Linked DNA regions of Oryzias latipes. The protein of the gene in region 1 purifies or fractionates together with the protein of each later gene. This does not show direct contact. Links are inferred from orthologs where the notes say so. Each region holds a gene or a part of one and is shown on either strand. Other genes may lie near its edges.

The links.
Region 2: the proteins of ehmt2 (region 1) and mier1 purify together in Homo sapiens (co-immunoprecipitation; 3 studies listed by BioGRID and IntAct, with this or other methods). This does not show direct contact. The link is inferred for Oryzias latipes from reciprocal best matches to the Homo sapiens genes EHMT2 and MIER1.

The regions. Positions count from the first base shown.
Region 1 is NC_019869.2:5,431,885-5,436,110, forward strand, and holds the start of ehmt2 (histone-lysine N-methyltransferase EHMT2), read right to left. Parts: upstream 2,806-4,226; 5' UTR 2,760-2,805; coding exon 2,733-2,759; intron 1-2,732. UniProt on the Homo sapiens protein: Histone methyltransferase that specifically mono- and dimethylates 'Lys-9' of histone H3 (H3K9me1 and H3K9me2, respectively) in euchromatin.
Region 2 is NC_019875.2:16,593,262-16,597,384, forward strand, and holds the start of mier1 (mesoderm induction early response protein 1), read left to right. Parts: upstream 1-1,216; 5' UTR 1,217-1,246; coding exon 1,247-1,255; intron 1,256-1,291; exon of another isoform or gene 1,292-1,419; intron 1,420-2,354; coding exon 2,355-2,388; intron 2,389-2,640; coding exon 2,641-2,789; intron 2,790-3,576; coding exon 3,577-3,771; intron 3,772-4,123. UniProt on the Homo sapiens protein: Transcriptional repressor regulating the expression of a number of genes including SP1 target genes. Probably functions through recruitment of HDAC1 a histone deacetylase involved in chromatin silencing.

The DNA.
Region 1 (4,226 bases):
TTATCAGACATGGTTTGTGTTTTGTCAGGACCCTAAATATTTGGACACAGACACATTTTTTTCTAATTTAGTTTCTGTAAATTACCACAGTGAATTTTAAATCAAACAACTCAGATGCCATTGAAGTGCAGACTTTCAGCTTTTATTCCATGGGTTGAACAAAAAGACTCCATAAAAATGTGAAAAACTAAAGCATTTTTTAAACACGATCCCTTCTTTTCATGGGCTCGTAAGTAATTGGACAAATGAAATGGTCATTACTAATATTTGGCTTAAAATCCTTTGTTGGCAATGACAGCCTGAAGTCTTGAACTCATGGACATCACGAGATGCTGGATTTTCTCCTTCTGAATGTTCTGCCAGGCCTTTACTGCAGCGGCTTTCAGTTGCTGTTTGTTTGTGGGCCTTTCTGTCTGAAGTTTAGTCTTCAACAAGTGAAATGCTGCTCAATTGGGTTAAGATCAGGCGACTGACTTGGCCATTCAAGAATATTCCACTTCTTTGCTTTAATAAACTCCTGAGTTGCTTTGGCTGTATGTTTTGGGTCGTTGTCCATCTGGATTATGAAACGCCACCCAATCAGTTTGGCTGCATTCACCTGGATCTGCGCAGACAGTCTGTCTCTGAACACCTCAGAATTCATTAGGCTGCTACTGTCCTGTGTCACGTCATCAATAAACACTAGTGTCCCAGTGCCACTAGCAGTCAAGCATGCACAGACCATCACACTGCCTCCATCGTGTTTTACTGATGATGTAGTGAGCTTTGGATCATGAGCTTCTCCACGCCTTCGCCATACTTTTCTCTTGCCATCATTCTGTTAGAGGTTGATTTTGGTTTCATCCAAAGAATGTTTTTCCAGAACTGTGCTGGCTTTTTTAGATGCTTTTTAGCAAAGTCCAATCTAGCCTTCCTATTCTTGAGGATTATGAGTGGCTTGCATCTTGCAGTGTACCCTCTGTATCTACTTTCATGCACTCTTCTTTTTATGGTAGACTTGGATATTGATACGCCTACCTCCTGGAGAGTGTTGTTCACTTGGTTGGCTGTTGTGAACGGGTTCTTCTTCACCATGGAAATGATTCTGCAATCATCCACCACTGTTGTCTTCCGTGGCCGTCCAGGTCTTTTTGCGTTACTGAGTTCACCAGTGCTTTCTTTTTTTCTCAGGATGTACCACACTGTTGATTTTTCCACTCCTAATACTGTAGCAATTTCTCGCATTGTTTTTTTCTGTTTTCCCAGCTTAATGATGGCTCCTTTCACCTGCATGGAGAGCTCCTTTGACCGCATGTTGTCTGTTCACAGCAAACTCTTCAAAATGCAAGCACGAGTCCTCTAATCAACTCCAGGCCTTTTATCTGCTTCACTCATAATGACATAACAAGGGAATTGCCCACACCTGCCCATGCAATAGCATGGAAGTCAGTTGTCCAATAACTTATTAGCCCATGAAATGAAGGGATTGTGTTCAAAAAATGCTTTAGTTTTTCACATTTTTATGCAATCTTTTTGTTCAACCCATGGAATAAAAGCTGAACGTCTGCACTTCAATGGCATCTAAGTGGTTTTATTTAAAATTCACTGTGGTAATGTACAAAAACTAAATTAGAAAGAATTTGTCTATGTCCAAATATTTATGTTCCTGAATGTACCTGACACGTTTCGGCGGAATCACTTCTGCCTTCATCAGACTCGTTATCAGGTGGTGGTGTTGTGACAGGTGGAGCAGAGGAAATACCATTATTATAAATAACAGTATTTCCTCTGCTCCACCTGTCACATCCCCACCACCTGATCACGACTCAGATGCCGCCAAAACATGTCAGGTATGTGAAAAAACACAAAACGTGTCTGATTAAAAGAAAAAATAACCCAAGAAGTCATGCATTTACTGCAGTTTATCACGAGGTGATGGACTCTGAGAAAACAGCTAGTAAAAAAAACACATATTTTTTACACTGATAGGAAACTATTTGTTGAAAAAAAAATGTTTTTTTCAATTGATGTTGCCAGAAAAAAACACTAGTAATAATAATATTTTCTCCACATAAATCAATGCTTTACTCCTAAATCTTTGCTGAGGATAAAACTAAGTATGTAGGATGGCAATCTGCTTTAGTTACTTAAATACCATCTAACAATTATATTTAAAAAATGATGACACAAAAGATTGATCTAAAAACTTAAGACTTTCTTTTCAAATTTCACCTCCCGGCGATGCTAACTCCTATATTCCCGGTTGCCATGTCAACCAGCCCATAACAAGAGATATCCAGCTTTCTCTTTCACACAAATATAAACACAAAAATCATTTAAAAATATATATTTCTTAAATACAAATTAATTTTCGTGCACTTTGTTTTCTATTTTAAACGATGAACTTAGCGTACAGAACAACAAGAACGAACTCCGTGATAAATAGTGGAATAATTTAAAACATTAAAAAAATATATTTAAAGGGTTGAATGTGTAGCAAATAGTCATAAATGGGAGTCAAGTGTAGGAATTAATGTTGACTAAATACTCATTTATAACTGTTACATGCTAGCACTGCTAGCATCCTAACACTGCTTACAAGACAATAATTCTTATCTATACATACACAAATACGCTAACGGTATGCGGGATTCTTGTGTTTCATTATGTCCAATAAACTAATGCGCATTTGTATGTAAAAATAGAATAGAAAGGCGTAAAAAGGGCTCGTAAACCCGTTTTGCAGTTGCTACCTTTGTCGTTGTGTGGGACGCCGACATGTTTCCCCGAAGCACGTCGGCTGAACGTGCTACGTCACAGCTCCAGCCCCGCCCCTTCGAAGCACACTGATTCCGAATCACTGATCAGAAACCAGTGTACGTGCTCGTGGCTCGTGGCCGTTTTCCACAAAAAGTTGCGCGTGGAAACCGATTCGAAGTCGGTTTCGTATGTCAAACTGGCGGTCTGTGATTCATTGTGATGAATTTCACTCTCTACGGAGAAACGAGGCGATAGAAGTAAACACAAAAAATCGAGGGCAGTAGCACAGCAGCGGCCACGAGATGAGATCATGTTGTCAGCAGTGTGCCTTCGGAGTTGATTCTTCTGTTTGAGACGCTACAAATCACCGAACACCACGAGACAAAGGTACGTATAGAAATAAGCGCAAAGTTTCCAAAAATTGTGGAGCTTTGGTTCTGTGGCTGGGAGCCGATCCTCTTTGGATCGGACCGTAGATTTTAGGCACGAGCGTTTAGTTGGTAGCTAACGTTAGCTAACAGTCGAGGAGGTTAGCTAGTTTAAGGTAAAACAAATTAATAAAAATGTGTGATTTGTATTGTTTGTTTGTTTCTATCTCTAAAAATTGAACCACCTAGGTTAAGATAACACATGTGGATTACCTACACTTTCCTAATCTTCTTTTACTCCCAGATTAGCTATCTTGACTAACCTTTCTTCCCGAGGCTACCAACTTTGAATGCTAAATCGATATTAGATACACGTGATGCAAAAATAATTGTATTTAGTTACATTTTATTATTACACCAGGCAAGAGTAATAATAAAAGCTTCTATTGCGTTTTAAATGGAAAAACTCGTGTTGTTGATAAACAGTTTATTTTCCCTTTAAATTTGGCCAAACCAACATTTCTGGTTTTTCAATTCAAATCTAACTTTATTTGTAAAGCAATTTTCATGCCCACAGAACAGTGTTTTATATGATAAAAACATTTTTCAATTTAAAAGAAAAACAAAGAACTTATCACACAAAAATGAATACAGAAAGGTGTGTTATGTTTGGAAAATTAGCTTTTACATTTGTTTGATTTTGTGCATTAGTGACTTCCTTTCAGATAACTGCCTTTGCAGCTATAACATCTGAAATGAGAGATTTTTACAAACTTATTGGGAATGCTTGACCTTTCCGTTTAGGTCATAGGTTTTGCTCTATTTCGTCCCAAAGGTGTTGAGTTGATGTCAGGACTCTGTGCAGATCCGATCCATGTCTTTGGTGGACCCTGCTTTTGTACAAAACCAGGCGCTCATGCGCTCATGTTGCCACAGGAAGCCACCTTCCCCAGACTCTCCTCATAGGCTTGGAATTGTCCACGTCTCTTGGTATGTTGAAGCATTCAGAAGACCGTTTTTCTGGAACAAAAGGGCCAAGCCCAGCTGCTGAGAAACATCCCACGTTAGGACATCATAACAAATGCGGTTCTTCTGGCAACTGCCAAACCGAACTCATCA
Region 2 (4,123 bases), on another chromosome or scaffold:
GCAATGCCAAGTCCAGAATATCATGTCATTTTCTGTTGGATTCTTTTTCTATCATGATAAAAACAGAAGTTATAGTAACAGGAATGTGTGCATGTTGTGAGAGACATGTTTCATTTGGAATTAAATTATTGAAAATGATATTTTGTTTATTAAGACAAATGTTTTTCACAGTTGCAAGAGACAGCAAAAATATGTTTTGGTATTTTAAAAAACTACTTTCAAGCATTTTTTCCCCCTTAGTTTTTGTAGATTTGGTTTCAGGAAAATTAAATGTACGTGCAAATGCAAGATTTGGGGATTTTGATTGGGGTGCATTTAAAATTTGATGGCAGGGATGTAAAACGTCCTCCAATTCTGGAATGACCTGTGTGTTTACACACACAAAATACAAAAGACTGAATCAAGTTTGATTCATAAGGTTACCAACTTGACTTTGTATCAAATGCATAATAAAGGAAACCAATAGCCATTAAAACAATTTCACAACAACTTAAACATTCTGGTATTAACTAATGTAAAACTCTAGTGTTGGCCATGTTTCTATTGCTGTGCTTGAGTCTAAACTTTTGATTTTATATATTTAAATATAAAACTCAAAATCACATTTTGTCATTATTGTTTATTATTATCATCATTTTATATGTATTGATTGATTTATTGGGGTTTTAATTTTTCTTCATTTATTTATTTCAGGAAGTAATCCGGTAAAACTTTTTTCATATAATTTTTATTGAACTTCAAACAAACATATACACATAGATACAGATGAAAGAAATAAAAAAGAATAAATTACACATAAAATTATTTTAATAAAAACAATATAAAATAAAAATATAACATTAAAATTGTAGTTTACAATACTAGGGATTGTCATACAACATGTGATCTTCAATGAAAGATAATTGTATTGCGTTTTTTGTTATTTATTATGTTCAGAGATTTAAAATATAAACTGATCTCTTTTTGAAATTTATTGAGTAATGGGTTTGGTTTTTGAAAATCTGCTCTTATGAATGAAAAATTTCCCAGATATTAATAAAGTATTGAATGTCAAATCAAATAGATCATCACCAGAAACTACTCCAAATAATATGATGTGCTTTTGTAATTGAATAAAAATAGGAATAGGAAGTAATCCGCTTCATTTGAGCCGCATTGCTTTATGACTGTTGATACCGCAGGTAGGCGGAGCTTCACATCCGGGTGCTGAAGCTGACCCCTGACGTGACCCTGCAGGATTACAAACATGGCGGAGGTAAGAAAGTCTTATACATTTTCACTAAAATTATTTTCTTCTTGTGGGCGGCTGGTTCAGCCAGATTTACTCACACTCCCCTGCTGTAGCTTTTGAACACGACACGGAACGTCAGCGTTTTGTCTCGCTGGACGGGCGCCATTTTTTGGATCCAGACATGTTTGGTAAACTTTGAGCTTAGCTAACGTTAGCTGCGGCGTTAGCGACTATGTTCCGCGGTTTTTGTTTAAAAATAAATTATCAACAAAGGATTTCGTTTTTTCATAAACATAATTCTAAAAGTTTTTTTAAATAACTGTAATTTACGCGTTTTCTTTTCTTTTTCACCTGAAATCTATAAATAGCGAGCTTAAATTAGGAATGCTTTAGCAAAAAAACGAGTAAAGATTATTTAGCTTGCAAAAATTGTAATTTCAATTAGTATGAATAAAGTTTGTCAGCGCTTATTTCTAGAATATTCCTTATAGTTAAAGATGATGCATTTTTAAATTTTGGAATTTATTATAAATTTATATTTACTTATTTATCATATTTTGTCGGAAAAAGACGTGAAATTTATCGTTTTTTTCTTTTTTGTTGTTTCTGAGGTGTTGTAGGAATTTAATTGTACATTTATATTTTCTTATGCCACTTATATTAAACAAAACCCCGCCACACGAACCTGATTATGTAAAGCTGTTCAGCAGCGAACGGTTTCAGTTTCACATCCCATGAATTATTCATTTTATGCCTGTTTTTTTTTTAACCTTTAATACTTACATTTGAGATTTTTTGGTTTTTAAGATTTTGAGAGAGAGAGAGAGAGAGATTTATTTCGGTAATGTACAAACACAATCCTAAAACGTCAACATAAATGTTGAAGAAAATTTTACCTAAAGCAAATAATCCTCCTAATTTTTTGTTTTTTATTCCCACTTGTTACATGTTTGGCTCTTGTTTTGTTGTCATGTATTTTTTTATTCATGTTGTGTGTATTTCTGTCTTGTATTGTCTCATTCAGTACATCTTTGTGTTATGATGCCTGGATGTGTTCTGTAATGGTTTCATCTGTATTGAACTTTTTTATTTGACTAACTTTTCTTCCTTTTTTTCTCTCTAGCCTTCGCTGGGGAACTCGAGCCCAGGTACACATGGTACTAAATGCTTACACATAATTTGTAGAGGAATTTGTTTAAAAAAATAAAAAGTAAAAGCTGGTTTCCCCATCTTTGTTCTTATTTTAATGGTCTCTAAGGCATACATACATTCTGGGCTGTTTTGTTAATATTTAGGGTTACACAATATTTTGTTATGTCAAATTTCTAAAATTGGTATTATATATTGATAAATGACTTTTTGGTTCAAAAATGCTCCTTTGTTTCCTTTTTTTACTTGCACTTTCCAAGGAGGTTCAGCAGGTTCTGATGACCATGATTTTGACCCCACCGCTGAGATGCTGGTGCATGACTTTGATGATGAACGCACACTGGAGGAGGAAGAAAGGCTGGAGGCGACAGACGACACCAATGTTAATGAGATTGAAGACCTTGCACGGGTTTGTTTTATTTTAAATTGTAAGACCTTTTGCTAAATGTAATGTTATATTTCTGGTGGTATTTATTATAGTTATGAAAACCCTGTTTGTTTGTGTGTTTTTAACCTGATTTTTAAAATTTGTCTTTAATCTAGTGTGATATTTTTAATTGAAATAGTTACTTTTAACTTGTAACTAATAATGGGAATGATATATTATTCATGGATCTGATATATTTTTACATAAACGAACACATTTTCATTTCCCATCATTGTAATGCTGCGTTAACTCCAAACACGATTTGCGTCGGCCGCCTATGTTTGGAAGCGTGGCTTGTGGGAGGAGCTACCACCAAATGTTTTTGGCCTGATTGCTACAGGGAGCGGTGTCTGTGTGCATCTCATTTACGATGCATGGAAGACCCCACTTTGTCAAAGTTCAGAGATTTGAACTCTGGACGCAACACTCAAATGGCGCTGCTGCCGGACCGACGTGCCGCGCCCGATGCCCAAATCGCGCCACAGGGCCTCTGACAGCATTTGAATATTGATTTAACCTTGAAACTGGACGTCTTTATCACACCAATAACGTTTTTCCTCCTGGTCACAACCTTTAGGCTAATTTTAAAATTGAAAAAGTTCAATCTCTCCTAAAGAAAGATAGACAAACAACAAACTTGTTTTTTTCTATAAACTGAGGATTTAATAGATTCACATTGTGTCAGAGGGCAACTTTCATCACCATTCAATGTCTTACTGTGAATCAGTAATAATAGGAAGTGAACTAAACTCAGCTTTATTTTTAATAGGAAGGTGAGATGCCCATACATGAGCTGCTGAGCCTTTATGGCTATGGGGGTAGATCACCAGCAGAGGAGGAAGAGGAGGAGGAGGAAGAGGAGGAGGAAGAACCTGAGGATGAGGACGACGAGGAAGAGGACGAAGAGGAGGATCTTGATAACGATGAAAGCAGCAGAAGCACTGGGGAGCTGAAAAGAACTGAGGTAGTTTTTAGCTGTGGTCTCACTGGTTTGCGGATTTTTTTCAATGCAATTTAGTATGTTTTTTAATTTTTTTTAACAGCAGGTTGTGTCCTGCGTCCTGATTGGCTGTAGGCCTTTGCCAATCAATATCTTCTGTGCCGTGGCTCTATAATCTGTTCAGTTTGCCAAATTTACAATTTTGATCGCGAGCAGATCTCTTTCATTCCAAAATACTGGACTTATTTTTCTTTGAAAGTTTAAACTTTGAGAGTTTAAAAGAGAAAAATGTTAAATGAATAATTATGTCTGTCTTAGTAAAGTGTATAAAGTGTGTAGTGAGGGGTTATACTGCCTATGATTATATTCTAGGGTA